Linked DNA regions of Drosophila melanogaster. The protein of the gene in region 3 interacts with the protein of the main gene of each other region in a pairwise test. Each region holds a gene or a part of one and is shown on either strand. Other genes may lie near its edges.

Region 1 (3,025 bases), on a different chromosome or scaffold from region 3:
CTTTAAACGAACAAAACAATTTGTCATTGTCACAAACATTCTGCGCCCTACTCTAGTTAAAAATGATTCATCTACCTTTGCGACCCTAATCAAATTCTTTGGTTATTTTTTTTTTGTTTTGATTTGGAACAAAATAGTCAATAAAATCAAATGTAGGGAATTATGTGCTGGAATCGACGCTTAATCGTTGTCATTGTGTTTATCGTCGTGCTAACAGTAGTTTTCTTTATAATATTTCATATATATGATAAGTATTACGATCAATCCCTCTTCACTCGAGATGTTTAAGTGGCAAATAGCTTTATTCTGTATTTTTATTCTGCTGGATGCACCAGTACGAAAATGATGGATAATACGATACAGATACCTCGGTCGAATGGAAACATTGTAAGCTCCGTTTTCCAATAACTCTCACCCATTTTTCTCACTGGCGTAGTGATAATTATAGTCGACTTGTTATCAGTCTATTTGTTATTTTTTCGGCCGATATGATTAAAGCTTTCAATACCTGTAGACCCCAAAATGCGGTCGATGACAGTTACCCGCTTCAGTTAATATTTTGTGTTGGTCAACCACGCATCGGGAATCGGAAATATACTGTACAGTATATCTATCTATAATAGAATAACCCAAAAAAGTCATCACCATGTGCAACGCTCTCTGTGAATGCCTCAAATGTCCCGGCAAAGTGGTTTGCTGGTAAGTTTCCATCGGTTTCTGGCTCACTAATCATCATATACAAATATATACTATATATATATAAATTATATGTGAGAGCTCTTGACCAGCTCTGGATGAAGCCAATTTGGGAAATTTAGAAATGGGTATCTTCAGTTACAAGCATCCTAAGTATTCGGGATTCAACCTGATTGAAATGAACTAATTGAACTGATCTGACAACAAGATCTGACATCCAGGATATCTCCATCTTGATCATGTGTAAAACTTTTCTAATCAGATCTTTCCATATCCTTGCAGCTGCTGTTCCTGCGCCTGCAAGATGCTCCTGAGCATCGTGTTTTCTGCGCTCCTGATGGTCGTGGTGATCGGCTTGATTGTCTACTTCACGGTCTTCTATCACAAGGATAAGAACACGGATGAGGTGCAGAAGCAGGTCGCCCAACTGACGCCCATTGTGAAGCGCAGCATACGCGACTACTTCAACAAGGAGTACTGATCTGAGGACATGAATTTATACTATAGGCCATATTAATAATAACTCCGTCGAAATCGAAATTGAAACGAACTAAGAACCAAAGCCGTTCAGTGCATGACTTAATCTAATCGCGTCGGATGCTCGTTATGGGATTTTTTCTTATCTATAGATAGTTTGGGACTCAATTGAATGGGCAATTTGTGCGTTCTTTAGAAAGGTAGATAATGTTGGAGCGGCAAAAAATGTGACTCACTGTATACCTTACAATACATTTTGAACTCGAAACCCAGTAAAGCATTCACAATATATATTTAATGTATAATATGTATGAATGTAAGGCAGATTAAAAAAGTTATATTGTACTGGATGACACACTATAAACAAGACAATAAAACTAAAATATCTATAGAAAATTGAAAGTGGAAATAAAAGTAAGTGTATCATTAATTAATAGCATCTCTACATACTGGCTTTTAAAATTTGTAAATCTAAAATAAGCTAATATTTTAAGCTTGGGGGAAAGAAATTAGAAAACTTCGTTATTGAAGTGTGAGATATTCACTAATAAATATTTGAGCTAGGGAAGTTCAAATATTTTTTTAAGATGAGGGTTTACCAGCAGGGAAACCCCTCATTACCACAGTCCTTCCAGCTGTTTTCCTAGTTTTATGTACACCATTGTTTGGGATCAGGTAGCCTAGAACACCGTCGAGGGTTGAAAAGTGTCCAAGATCTGGTGGTCCGTTCAAATGCATTTCAAACTCGTCCCCTTGACTTGCTTCAATCAACTTTGGGCTCAGTTGTTCGCCAGCATCAGGTTCACAATGTCCTCCGATTCCACGCTGTACTTCAGTGCCGTCGAGGATATGTTCAAGGAAGTGTTAACAATAGGGGACGAGAAGAGGGATCCTGGAAACGAGGATTTCTCCGAAACACCTAAACGTTGCGTACGATTGCGCCAGCAAAAGTTGTTCGCGAACGATACCGCGAGTTTTGTGATAGGTCGCCGTTCGCCGAGGATTGAATCCAAAATCGATCTCAACAGAGATGTATCTCCTGGAAGGCGAAAGGAGCTGCGCGGCGAGGAAATCCTTCGGATGCGCAAGGATCGGGCGGAAAAGGAGCGTCTGAGGCCCCAAAGGCGTCTTACCATGCGGATTTAGTGCCACACCTATCGATATGATAGCTATCCACCGAGTTCATTGTGTTCCCCAATCGAAGTGCTTCCCTGTTGTATGCTCTACTTTAGGATTTATTTTTAAGCTCACCTAAGTATGCTAAGTTTTGAGTGCCAATAAATAAAGTTATTAGTGAATACAATTGGTCTGCTAATGTTTTTTACTTTGTTATTATATATCATATATACAAATCATATATATATATATATATATATCAGGTCAATTGAGTAAATATTTGTTTCTTAAAAGATTGCTGCTATACAAATAAGGCACATATTTAAATATAAAACTTTATTTAGGCAGGTTTTTCTTTCATGATGCCTAAATTATTACCCACATTCAATTAAAACGAAATATATTTCATAAAATATATGAAATTGTTTTCTGTTTTCACATATTTAACAATAACTCTTTAAATCTTTTACTAACAGTGTGCTCCAACACAAATTTATTTGTACTGAATACAATTTTAAAGGAAAAACAAAAATATAATATTTAAGTTTTTATAAACATTTTATAGCAATTTAGCTAGTTCACGAACCTTTTTACAGTCAACGTAGACATTGTGTAGAGTATTATTTTTATCAAATTCAAAGAGATACGATTTTGTAATCCTTTTTTTGTAAAACGTATCAAAACGCATACACTTAAAAAATTTGACTAAAAGAACAATTTAAAGATTTACTTCAAT
Region 2 (8,027 bases), on a different chromosome or scaffold from region 3:
AATAGTTGCTCTAATAAATTCGCTAATTCGCTAGGCCAATAGATCGATTAAGTGTACGCTTTCTAATTTGACTTCTTGAGATTCCTCTTGCGTATATTCCCGGGACAGCCGCCGGCGCTGAGGAGATGCAATTTCCAGCCGCCGTCTTGGGGAAGGTGAACATCGTCATGACAAAGGGGACATCGAGCAGCACCCGTTTTCAGTTCTGGAGAGGGGAAATGGTGATATAGTGACTCTAGAATTTATCTCAATTTCAAGTTTCTACCCCGACAATAGTCCTCCATCTGATGTAGTTCATATAGCTGCTTGTGCACCGATTCAGTGCAACGGACACAGACCACGTAGCTCTCCTTGGCATCGCATTCCGCTGGGGAATATTCACAATATTAGTTATCCTACGGTATTATATTGCAGACCTACTTGTCAGGTGGTAGTTCAGAGCAGCAACCTCCAGCACTTGACTGCATTGTGGGCACTTGGTGAGGAAAGGACACGCCTTCCAGTAGTGTCGGTCCAACTGAGTAGCGTCACTGCCGGCACACGACCAGTCGCAAAAGGGGCAACGTCTAAAAGAGTATTAATATTATTGCGGATCCTTGAAGAATTCAATTTTACTACACACATTTTGGGTGTGTTGTCTTCAGTGGACTCCGAGTTGGAAGCGGATCCCTTGCGCGAGTTGCTCACGGATAGCATGGAGCGCTTGAGCTGCTCGTTGTACTGCTGCTTTCCATTGCAGCTGGCATATCCATTACTGGAGCTGGCCATTGGGCCTAGGTTATGACCACTGCGGCTATTCATCAGTCGAGAGGCATCTGAGCTGGTGGACGCCTTATCCGCCGGCGGTGTTGCCGCATCGCCCGAGCTGTGACCCCCGCCATACTTGCTAGCCTCCAGCAGCTCCTGCTTGCGGTCCAGATCCAACTTGTCAAATTCGGTGAAGAGTTGGCGGTACAAGAGATTGCGACGCGTGATGTCGTCATCCGGAGGTAACTGCTTGCGCACCAGTCGGGGATTCACCTTGTAGACGAGCAGCAGGATGCGCTCGGCCACCTTTCGCACAGGCTCCGCTGGATGATGGATGCCGGAGCAGCCGCACTCGGACAATGCCCTGCAGGTGAGTCCACTATGCTTGTCCGTGCTAATGCCCTGAGTGTTGACCAGCTGCTCCAGCATCTGCAGCCGACTCATTGCCAGTCGCTGGTGGGTTCCGGATCCAACGCTTCGTGATAGTGCTGGCGCAACCAGGTGCTGCTCCGCCACCTCCGGACAGGCGGCGATGCTTAGGATCGTGTGCTGGGCCAGAGTGTGCAATCGAGCAGATGGATCGCCGGACTTGGCCAGCAATTCGGGCAGCAGGCGGTCCACGCAACGTGCCACCTCGTTGGGGGAAACTCGACCGGGCACATACTCTAGGAACAGCATGCGTACCGTCTCAGTAGCTTGGCTAAACACGGAGTAAACGGCATCTCTTACAGCGCGATGCAGCAGAAGGGCGGCGCTGCGGGCCACTTTGTTGGGACTGGCAGCGTGCTCGTTGCTCGACGCCTCTAACAGGTCGTGCTCCTTTAGGAAGTTACGCAGACGCATCAAGCCATCCTCGCGGTCCTGAAACTGACGCGAATAGAACTGCTCCACCTGGGAATATACATATGTAGGGCACGTATTGAATATGTTATCTATTGGATTTAATGGGGGACTCACCAGCTCATTGCCGAAGACCAGGATGGGAAGCGCTGCCTGGCGACGCTCGCGGTCGTTCAGGCGCGAACGCCCACGGTTCGGATCCGCTTCCAGTAGCGCGTTGCCTTGGCACTCCCTTAAAAATTCATTAGTATTTGAACTGTGAGCGGTTTGTGTTTGTTGTATCGGAATGGCAACGTTTACGGATGCGGTTACAATATACATATAGGAGTAGAAAGGTAAGTACGATTAAAGGTAAATCTAACAACATGTTACTTTCAAATGCGTTCAAATAACGCCTAATTTAAAGTTTTGTGTATAGTTTCGAAATTTCATTATATGAAATTAACTATGAAACCGTTCAAACTATTTTTAATCTTTTATAAAAGTTTCTAAGTTGTTAATAAAAACATAAATACTTTTCTCTAAAAGCAAATTTTAAATACTTTTTAAAATATCTAAAAGCAAAATTTCTGTCAAAAAGCCTAACATTTAAAAGTATCTCAAAAATACCTAATTTCAATATATAAAGAATTTTTGCTTTTGCTTTAAAAAGATAAATCCTTTTCATGTGTTTAGAGCAGATAAAACGGCTTTACTTAAAATTAAGCTAATAGATTCTCTTTCGTTCTTTGAAATTCTGGGCGAGCGTTAAATCTTAAATTAAAAAAAGTAACGGGTGTTGTTTCTAACGGTCGCTAGTGTTGACAAACATTCAAACTAAGAGTACCGGTTATCATGCAACACTGTAATAGACAGCTGTTTCCAGTAAACAAACGAAGTAATTACTATTCCACAATTGTTTACGTATTCACTAGACACCCAGACAACGATTACGACTCTCTACGCCCGCTACTCACTGTCGCAGCGTGGGAATGGCCCGCTCCTCGTAGTCTTCGTAGGAGTTTCGTGGAACGCTCTTGTTGCGCCTGCGCAGCGATCCCTGTCGGCTGGACATTGGTGAGCTGTGCCTTGAAGGCAGACGTGGCGACTGCGGCAGCTCGTCGTGGGACTTGCGCCAGCCCCCCAGCGTGGGAGTGGGCGTGGCCTGCAAAGAGGTGGGCGCAGGAGCGGGTGCTGGAGCAGGTGCCGGAGCTGTCAACGTATTGTCGTTACCAGGCTGGGAGCCATCGGTCGAGGATTTGTCCTCTAAGCTGAGACTCGTCATGCTCTTGGGACTGAAGGTGGCTTCCGCAAGTGCCTGTGCCACATCCTGCAGGCTAGGAGCCGATGGCAGACTGGGCTTCCCACCCGCATAGATCTCGCAGCTTTGGTCATTGGAGCTTAAGGTCACACCCTGCGGTTCCAGAAGCTGATGCACCTGCAATTGTCGAAGTACTGCCGCCCGGTACATCTCGATCTGCTCCTTGCGTAGCCTGGCCGTGGTAAAGTCCTCCTGCTGAACAGCCTGCCTCTTGGCCAGAGCATAGCGCCCCAAACGTTCTCCGGCAGTCCTTAAAGCTGTCATGCATAGCTTCAGTTTGCGGGCGTACTCGAATCTTTCTGAGTTAACGGCCAAAATCTTTCGCTGTTCCAACTCTCGGATGGTCTGCACTATTGACTCCTCCACATACATGGAGAAAAGCAGGTCATCACAGACGGAGGCCAGGGCCAGTTCTCCGGTGGCCGTGTCCAACGGTGGGGCCTCGTTGGCCAAGTGCTCCTCTCCGTTGCCATTATTTGGCCCCACTTCCAGATCCTCGCCCAGGACATTTACCGCTAGTAGGGAAATCTGGCCTGTGTCATTGTAGTCGTTTCCTTGGACGCCAATCAGACGCAGCTTAAGATGTGTGCCCCTACGTGGACACACGGTTACGCTCTGCAGCTCCCGAGACTTGTAGTTCGTGTTGGCATTATCCGCCAGGGCAACAAAACCCAAAAAGTCAAAGTACTGCGAGGATGGAGTGCTGGGCAGGGATTTGGGCGAGTAGTGCAGCCAGAGTTCTACTTTCTCAGCTAAACGAAAAAACAACACATTATAGGGAATACTCAAGCTGTTTGTTTATATGTTCATCTTTGATCATACTAAAGATCAGGCATTGATTATTTCTAGGTACTTATTAGGCTTGTAGCCAATTCCAATTAACTTAGCACATTAACTTACGTATAAGATACTGGTGTGCCAGGAGCTGGATGCGATAGATCTTGGCCGGCTGCTGGAATCGGAGGATGATGTCATGTGAGGTGAGGCTGCCGTTCGGAGCACTTCGCCATCCGTGAACTGTGGGGCCGTGATTGTTTAACTCGCTAGCCGGAAAGTTAACATCCTCGTCTGAAAGGCAAGCGAAACGATCCAATCATCATTACTTTCATGACGTTATAACCTATGTATAGGTGGCGCAGGCCATTATGACTCTCTTAATAAGTCTCTTTTTCGCACACTCAGCTAAATAGTTGCACATGATAACGATATCGGACTATGTTTCGTTCTCTTTCGGTTGCTAAGCTAACAGCAGCGGTCAAAACGAAAGCTAGCATTCAAGCGTGCCCAAAATAATAAGCCTTAAAATCTATTAAATATTCAGAAACAGGTTATCAGTTATATATGCGATGAAACGTATAAAATGGAAAGCATAAACAAAAACATTTGAGTTACTTTAAGAATTCTCAACTATCACTATTTATTCGAACGCAGCTGTACGAGTACAAACGAATCTAACTTGTTGTTCTCTATCCTCAGGTTCCACGCTCTTCTCTTCTATATTTAAGCGATGTCGATGTTAACATGCTAGTTTAGTCGTCGCTCAGCCGTTCGTGTTTTGTTACTGAATCAGATAGTATTATTGAATCTTTTGAAATGGCGGAGGGTTACACGAAAGCCACTGCCTGGCTGCAAATCCACAGCCTGCTGAATAGCATCAACCACATTCTGATCTTTCTGGTGGCCGTCTTCTTTTTCATACTGGCGCGCAGTCTGGAGTTCAAGGATACCGCCATGCATATGTTTATGACCGGGACTGGAGTGAGTACACGGCGATAAGCACTTGGCCACAAAATCAATAGTGTTAGATCGACCTGGATAACACGGACATGCAACGTCACTTGTTATCTTATCGAACTGGAGCTGAATTAAAAGGCTTTTCTTGCTCTCGACAGTTCCACGTCCTTATCGCCCAGGCCATGATGTCGCATTCGAAAGTGAACCCGCTCACCCGTTGGCTGTCGCACCGAAACAAGTCGCGCTTCCACGCCATCCTGCAGATTGTGGGTGGCTCCATGGTGCTGTTGGGCTCCCTGGGTAAATTTTCCAGCAAGGAGGTGCACTTTAACACCTGGCACGGCCGAGTGGGTGAGTAAATAATTAGGTTAATTCAGGAAAACCGATTAAAGCTGACATTTTGCAGGGGGAGCTGCTTCCTTTTTCTGCGCGGCCAGCATTGTAGGCGGTTTTGTCAACTATTTCCAGCCCAAGTTCGCCCTGAAAGTAATGCCTCCATCAGAGCTTCGCTTCCGCCATAATCTATTTGGATTGGTCACCTTTAGTCTGGGAATGGGCGCCATTTACCTGGGCTACTATTCGAAATTCTTTACCAAGTATGTGGATACTGACTTTATTCCCGGCATGATGCTGATTACCGGCATTGTTTATGGACTCACCATTATCGCGCCGGTGTCATCGCTTCTAACTAAACTTAAGTATCGGTCCAAAAAGAAGGCGGAGCAGGCCCAGTAGGTGATACTGGGGAGGATGAGGCTGAGGCCATCGAGGCTAACCAAAATTTGTCAGGTCCTAGCATGAAAATAAAGAGCTTGGCGTTTGGCCAAATTTAAATCTCTGGCCGCAACTCAAATTGCACATGCAGACACAAAAAGAGTCGACAACCCGGCAGTCTGACAATATTATAATGAAATATTACAGTCATCGTGGTTGCAGTGGTTTTAGGACGTGGTAAATTGGCCGAGACTTTGGAAAATTGATTTAGCATCCTGGCCATATTTAAATCGGACTATTGCCAGCTGATTAGCTGCAATTAAAAAGGCAGCGCCAGTCTATTTTAAATTCCAACGTCCTGGCGCACTAGGCGTATGCGTGATTTATCGATTTCTCAAGTGCAGCGAATTTTAAAGGAAGAAAGGGAGGTGGAAGACGTTTAGCTCTCAGCCAAATCCTGTCGCAACTAAAAATGCAATTAAGAACATAAAAAACACACAAAATAAAGCAAACAAATAAGAAAACTATAAATAATAAAAATCTTTCTGCAGCTTTCAGTTCATAATATATCCGAAGTTTTGTTTACCTGAGGCGAACACCACGTTAAAAGGTATTTTCTTAGCCATGTTGACGTCGCGCCGTCAAAAGCGCACTACTTTGCCACTTTTATTCGCTAATCCGCACATAAAGTGAGCACTTATTCTTAAAGCGGCCGTTCGCGAACTGTGTGACCGCACAATTTTTTATGATTTTTACCCTTGTGCTCTGGAAAGTATACTATAAAACTTTATTCGGCTGGGCGAATATACCAAAAACATACATCATCTACATAGAATGTTATTTGTTCAGCTTTATATTAAAGTCAATATTTTGTCAAATTAGATATTTTAATATCATTTATTTAACACATTTAAATTTACATTTGGAATTCGATACGTTTTAGCCACTATCTAACTATCTAGCCACTATCGACTTCGCTATCGATTCGAGCCAGCTGTTTTGTATTATTGAATTGACCAACACTCTTGTAGTTTTAATTGAAATTATTTACACGGTTCTTGAGAACAATTACAATGCCAACAAATGGCCATAAATACAGCATTTTGATGCCCACTTACAATGAAAAGGATAATTTGCCCATTATAATATGGCTAATTGTGAAATACATGAAGGCGAGGTGAGTAGCGGCTGCTCTAAGGTGCAAATTCAGGTATTAATTGCTCCCCCTTTGCAGCGGCTTGGAATACGAGGTGATTGTGATTGATGATGGTAGTCCGGATGGAACACTAGACGTGGCCAAAGACCTGCAGAAGATCTACGGGGAGGACAAGATTGTGCTGAGACCACGTGGCTCCAAATTGGGACTCGGAACGGCCTACATACATGGCATCAAACATGCCACCGGCGACTTTATAGTTATCATCGATGCGGACTTGAGTCATCATGTGAGTCTAGATAACAGGGTTAAACTAATAATAAGATAAACTAATAAGCTATATTTTTTCCGCTTCAGCCCAAATTCATTCCCGAGTTCATTAAGCTGCAACAGGAGGGCAACTATGACATTGTATCCGGCACTCGGTATGCCGGAAATGGAGGTGTCTTTGGCTGGGACTTCAAGCGCAAGCTCATCTCGCGCGGCGCCAACTTTTTGTCCCAGGTGCTTTTACGTCCGAACGCCAGTGATTTGACCGGCTCCTTCAGGCTCTACAAGAAGGATGTACTGGAGAAATGCATTGCCAGCTGCGTGTCCAAAGGCTACGTGTTCCAAATGGAGATGCTCGTTCGGGCTAGACAGCACGGCTACACCATCGCCGAGGTGCCCATCACCTTCGTGGACCGTATTTATGGCACCTCCAAGCTCGGCGGGACCGAGATTATTCAGTTTGCCAAGAACCTTTTGTATCTGTTTGCGACCACATAAAGAGAAAACCACCATTAGCTGGGTAGATTTTTAAATTTTTAATGTTCTTTGGATTTTCTTTGCTTTGTACATTTGGTAAGATTTGCTCAAAGAATTTTACATACATCTAATGAATTATGCATGAGAAATTTGTTTGCCATATTTATAATAATTCAGAGTTCTGCCTTCCTCGGTCTAGCACCCTGTTATGCTTCATTTATAATTTGAATAATGATAACTAGCGTTAATTGATTTAATTACTCAAGTCGAAAACTTTGTGCTGGTTGTCTGGATTGCCGTAAAGAGTGCCACAGTCATCGTCGAGGGCGCCCGATCCTCCGCCGTAGTTCTTCAAAGCCAGGGTCAGCAAGGAGTTGCGATCCTTGAGAGCCAGCACCACGAAGGCTCCGTTCGGCAGAATCTCACAAGTGCTCACTTGCGCCGGTGGCTTAAACACGGCCAGGGATTTGGCTGCAAGACCAGAAGGATGACTATACAGTTCAGTAGGGCGAAGACCGTGGTACATACCCGAATTCAACTCCCACATACGGACGGCCGAATCACGTCCCTCCTTGTCGTAGGAGAGCAGCACCTTTCCCAATGGATCCAGCTTCAAGAACGTTACCGGTGCATTGTGGCCGATCAAGGTGCTCTTGCAGTTGCCCGTGACCAGGTCCCAGATTAGGATTTTGGCATCTTCTAGGCCGGCGATGACGCAAGCGTTCACCTGGGAGATGGCCAGGGAAACTGTGTTGCAGGCGGGCTTCCATTTCTTAAACAGAGTGCCGC
Region 3 (5,134 bases):
GTTCTTCTTGACGCCAATTAGTCCCAGCTTTCCACGGCGCTTGATAAGTTGATCGGGCTTGCACACCAGCGGCTGCAACAAAGGAAAGGACGGGGCTAATTAAATGTATGCTAAATATAAATGAAATAAGCGACAAATCGTTGAACTTGTGCCTTCTGATCTCGGCGCGTCAGTAAAAAAGCCGGTTCCAACGATCAGCATCTGTCGAAAAGATCAGCCGATAACATCAGGGGTCGTTCCCGCGTCATTGCCAATGACAATGCCAGTGCTCGTACCCTTACCCGAACTTGTACTTGTGCCCACACAAAAACACATCTCATATGCTTATTAGAAGATCGTACGAGTGTAAATTGAGCAAACAGTCCGACTACGAAATATCATCCGAGATGTCCGTCAGGCGATTCACTTTGTCGTGTAATTAAAGCCGAAAGAACTCCCATTATGCTCACTAAATTTCGGATCTATCTTAATTGCATATAAAATTACGAGATCAAAATATTAAACTAATAGCTCTAAGTGAAACTATTTAAAGGGAGTTGTATTGTGTTTGATTGTTTGCTTCTCCCCCTTCAGTGGGGTAAACATCATTATCAGTAACGTAATAAAAGTATTATGCACTTCAAACGAAAACGTGACAACAAGACAATAAGTCTATTAAATCAGAAAGTTAATACCTTCTATCTGCATGTCATAAATTAAAACACCTTCCTGATAATCAGAGTTTCACAATCCTGCCTTTAGATTACTAAGACTAAGTATAGGGACGCTCCCTCTAGAGTCAACAAACAACTTATAGATAAGTTTTAACTGATCACATTTCAATAGAATATATTATTTTGCGAAAATTGTTTGAAAGATAGTAGAGTAGTTCCCTGAATCCCCCACTCGACTCAGCGACACTTCGCCACTTTAAAATCTCCGGCATATTTGAATTGAAATTATTCTTTAGAAATTCAGGCGGCGCAACAATGCTAGGTAAGGTCAATAAATTGAGACGCTCCAAAATCAACAAATAACTTGATGATAAGATTTCGAACATATGGATTTCGGTGATAAAGGTTTTCTAAAACAAACACGGAACATGTTAGCTTCCCCTTATTTCCCACTCAACCGTTATAAGTGCTCAAGATAAGTACTTGGCTACAGCCAAACTTTCCACTATCGATCGGAAGGTCAATCAGAGATAGCTGCGTGATCGTGAATCCCAATCTCCACGCACGCTTATCGTGTTCGCAAATGAGGTGAGCCTGATCCGCCGGCGGATAACCAAAGGGGCCAAGACCACGCCATGCCACGCGACCTACGACTGGGTCCCCGGCAATCTGATAAAAACCAGAGTGCGCCATGGGGTGAGCTGTCGGTCTGCGCCCGCGTCCGTCCGTCTACTCCGCAATTTCCAGCGATCAACTCGCGCGACCGACTGGCGCCCAATTCGCTCTTATCAGGAGCCGCGCTTAGTCATTCGGCATCGGCGTGGTGGTCGAAGCGTCCACCACGAGGTCAAGTTCAATGACAATCCCGCCGAGCGTTTGTTGTCGCTGGCCCAATTGTTGTTCCTACATATCGGCTGATTCGCAATCGTCGAGTTCCGCGAGTTTCGCGGCTATTTTTAACTGGCACTCACCGTGGTCAGCAGCCAGGGATGGTCAACGGCGAGCTTGGACCAATCTGTCGTGGAATTTACTGTGGAAAAACGGCAAGTGGCCGCGCCGGCGCCATGGGTGTTGAGATGGCGGTTCAGGATGTCCTTGCCGGAGGCCTCGGTGATTGCTTTCGCCGACATGATGAAGCTACAGAATATACAAAAAAACAAAAAAACAAAAATACAAAAATATATAAAAACAAATCAATTAAGATTTAATATAGCCTTCTTTCAAATACAAATAAAGGAGGGTCTCGTGTGTTCGCGCGTACCGTTTGACTTTGTCTGTACTTTCAAACTTTGATTTATTTACTTAGAATTGATTAGAGCACGACTGTGTGCAGGTGCAATAGGTTTCGAGTAAGTTTCAAAGTGTGCGTGCTGGGCGGCTTCAGCTTTGGGTAGCTACAGGCTGGGCAGCTAGCTAATCAACCTGCACGTCGTCGGGTCTGGAAGTAAACTGAAATCGAATGCGCGACAGCACCATCCATGAAAATGAGCCAGCAACAGGCGTATTCTGATTTCGATTTCGTGGCGCTGCCTCGGCTTTCAAGCTTCGCGACTCCAACGGCTTCGGGTCTTTAGAATTTTCGGCTTATGTGTTGATATGTACATGGCTCTCGCTCAACCAGATGGTTGTTTCCCAGAGATTAGGTCTGCAACGGGATCTGGCCCTGGACCATTACCATTGCGTTGGGTGTGGGGAAGCACCTTTTGTAGAACCGGTTATCAACATATCATTGCAGCTTGGATATCAAGCCCAGTTAGTCAAGTCAGTGGGTCACTTTGGCTGAGGGCCGAACTTTCTCCCAAAAATACATGAACAGCCAATGGCTAGCAAATCGGAAATGGCATGGAATCTAATTCGATGAAGAGCGCACATTGAAGGGGGCTGATGACTTTGCAAGTACACACGATCTAATTTACATCTGGAAACGAAGTTCACGCCTAGCCGATGCGTATGCAAATTGGCTGCCCTGCTGGTGAAACTAAAAAAAACTAAATGCGAAACCGAAACCGAAGCCCAAACTAAAAATGTTGTAAGCGGTGAAAGTGGGCAAAATCAATAGGGCTGTTGCATCACCGTTCGTGGGTCAAATAGCTGTTAATCTTCGCCTTCAGTAATTATTGCAAAATGCTTGCTGATTTTCGCATTAATATTTCTGCAATATTCAGCGAATATGTGATTATAGTGTGTGTGTGTGTGTGTGTGTGTGTGTGTGTGTGTGAGTGTAAGTGCGTGGAGCAAGCCGAACGATCTGTGCGAAATTTCATTTGGTCATGTTTTCCTTTGTACTCGTCACTATTCAATGAAATTGTGGGTGTATATACGCGGGTATATTAACGGGCGACGAGAGCACTCACTTTAGTTAAATCAGCTTCACGACCTGCGATTAATTTTAACACGTAAACTAAACTGCAACTTTCTTTCGGTTGTCGTTTCTTTAGCTAGCGATGGCCAAGTTTCGATAGCTCTTTCACTGTTTTCCCTCGAATACATGGCGATACATTTTGTTATTAATTTTTTTCGAGCATACTTTTTGGCGCGTTTTAAAATACTGCGCAACAGTATGTAATATTATATACAGTATTAACTGTATGCGCTAGGCTCTATAATATTAATAGCATTTATAGTAAACAAATTAAATATATATTTTTTTATATATATTTAATAATATATAAATATTTCATTATTTTAATAATCTGCTACAATACAATGTTAAATTTAATCGCATGCCATTGAACGCTTAAATTATACTACCAGCAAGAAATCAACTAAACATAAGCCCATATATCAAGCAATTTATGTAGCCACCTGATGCGCCTTAAAAAAGGATTCTGTGCTTTAATGGTATATTTTTAAAATGATCATATGATTAGTATTTCCCTGTGCCGGATGGTATGTTTTATGTATTCCACGGCGGTCACACCGAAAAGCGATAATAATTTTTGGCCAGCGATATTGGATAATATAAATAAAGCGCAACGCCAAGGAAACTCCAATTTAGATTAGCAGCTGGACAGAAAGTCGGTTACCAGGAGCTGCGCCATCGCCGCCCACACGAACACACACACACACAGCATCCCAGGATCAAGGGAACGCACGCCATGCCCACACAAGTCCAGATGAGGCCGCTTTTGCGAATATTCGCAGAACCCATCCTGCTCATCCTAATCTTCCTTTTCACTTTGGGCGCCAAAGGTGAAAAGGTCCTGCAGGAGACTTTCCTGGGGCTGCAGGAGGCACCAATCCACGATTTGGGGGACCTTCGGCTTGTGCCGTCCCGTCTAGACTTTGGAACGTGGTCCGTCGGCCAGGCGCGTTCTCAGACGGTGACACTATTCAATCAACACTCCAATCGAACGCTCCAGCTGAACGCGGTGGCCGGACCAAGTCCGGCGTTCTACAGCAGCTTCCTGGGCACGAGAGAGGTGCCGCCGCAAGGCAATACAACTTTCAACGTGGTGTTCCTACCGCGCCAACTAGGCGCCATTGCCGCCGACCTTCTCATTCACACCTCCTTCGGCCAGGCCGAGTTGGCGGTACAGGGCGAGGGCAGTGAGTGCCCGTACCGCCTAAAGCCGTTGGTGGGCATTAAGGCGCCCATGAATGCGACACTCACGCCAGAGATTCACATGTACAACCCGCACGAGCGGCCGCTGCAGATACTTGAGGTAGGTTTTAATCAACACTCTGTAGGTATATTACCCATAACCATGTCTTTTAGATATACAGCAGCGGCGGCGAGTTTCAGTTAGAGTTGCCCAGCGGTGGCTCGGAGGGCCCACAAAATCTGTGGAAAATTCCTCCACACACTTTAAAGCCGGTCATTAGGATATCATTTCACGGCCGCACAGCTGGCAATCACAGCGCCTACATACGCATCAAGGTCGCAGAGCAGGAACTGGATATTTTTATTCCTGTCGAATTTGAGATTCTGCCACGACATTCTGTGTACGCCCGCAATCCACTGGCGGACTTTGGCCGTGTGGCCACTTTAAATGCTCCGGATGCACTACAGTTCAAGCTGGACGTTCGGAACGACGAGAGTCGCCAACTCTTCGGCAGTTACCTTCGCCAGATTCCGGGTCTCTCGTTTGACGCAAACAACACAAGTATAGTGTTGGATGCCAGCCTATTCGAAGGCGATGAGATCATTAATGATCTGCTGGTGATCAACAGTAACCAGTCCAGTACCAGTCCTGGTGCGGATCAGCCGTTTACAGTGCTGGTGCGAGCGGAAATCTTCCATGGAGGGCTCACCTTCGACAGAAATGCCACCAGATTTGTGACCACCTCGCCAGAAGGCGTCGAGGGTGAACCGCTGGAAAGAAAACGATCGCTGGTGGTGCGGAACAAGTTCGCAATACCCCTAATGCTCTTTAACGTAAGTCTCACAGAGCCCATTGATGAATCCATATTGGAAGTAACCCTCGTAGGCGATCCAAGGATACTAATTCAGCCGGACGAATCTGTTGAGCTCCTGCGTC

What was found.
Region 1: the proteins of ATPCL (region 3) and CG13454 interact in a two-hybrid assay, tested with the Drosophila melanogaster proteins (one large-scale study listed by BioGRID).
Region 2: the proteins of ATPCL (region 3) and CG10137 interact in a two-hybrid assay, tested with the Drosophila melanogaster proteins (one large-scale study listed by BioGRID).

The regions. Positions count from the first base shown.
Region 1 is NT_037436.4:15,515,982-15,519,006, reverse strand, and holds CG13454 (uncharacterized protein), read left to right. Parts: upstream 1-1,950; 5' UTR 1,951-1,980; coding exon 1,981-2,319; 3' UTR 2,320-2,474; downstream 2,475-3,025. Other genes in the region: mex1 (midgut expression 1), read left to right, coding at 979-1,177.
Region 2 is NT_033779.5:19,524,706-19,532,732, reverse strand, and holds the start of CG10137 (uncharacterized protein), read right to left. Parts: upstream 6,048-8,027; 5' UTR 5,962-6,047; coding exon 5,922-5,961; intron 5,824-5,921; exon of another isoform or gene 5,357-5,823; coding exon of another isoform or gene 5,028-5,356; intron 4,973-5,027; coding exon of another isoform or gene 4,780-4,972; intron 4,646-4,779; coding exon of another isoform or gene 4,481-4,645; exon of another isoform or gene 4,364-4,480; intron 3,963-4,363; exon of another isoform or gene 3,956-3,962; coding exon 3,788-3,955; exon of another isoform or gene 3,737-3,787; intron 3,640-3,736; coding exon 2,544-3,639; exon of another isoform or gene 2,428-2,543; intron 1,820-2,427; coding exon 1,705-1,819; intron 1,639-1,704; coding exon 623-1,638; intron 567-622; coding exon 421-566; intron 368-420; coding exon 266-367; intron 206-265; coding exon 63-205; 3' UTR 1-62. Other genes in the region: CG10165 (uncharacterized protein), read left to right, coding at 4,481-4,645, 4,780-4,972, 5,028-5,356; Dpm1 (Dolichyl-phosphate mannosyltransferase subunit 1), read left to right, coding at 6,409-6,512, 6,570-6,780, 6,849-7,259; CG10132 (uncharacterized protein), read right to left, coding at 7,492-7,709, 7,767-8,027.
Region 3 is NT_033778.4:15,998,181-16,003,314, forward strand, and holds the start of ATPCL (ATP citrate lyase), read right to left. Parts: upstream 3,111-5,134; 5' UTR 3,008-3,110; exon of another isoform or gene 3,001-3,007; intron 2,108-3,000; exon of another isoform or gene 1,915-2,107; intron 1,791-1,914; 5' UTR 1,784-1,790; coding exon 1,625-1,783; intron 73-1,624; coding exon 1-72. Other genes in the region: Tmem131 (transmembrane protein 131), read left to right, coding at 3,752-4,318, 4,372-5,134.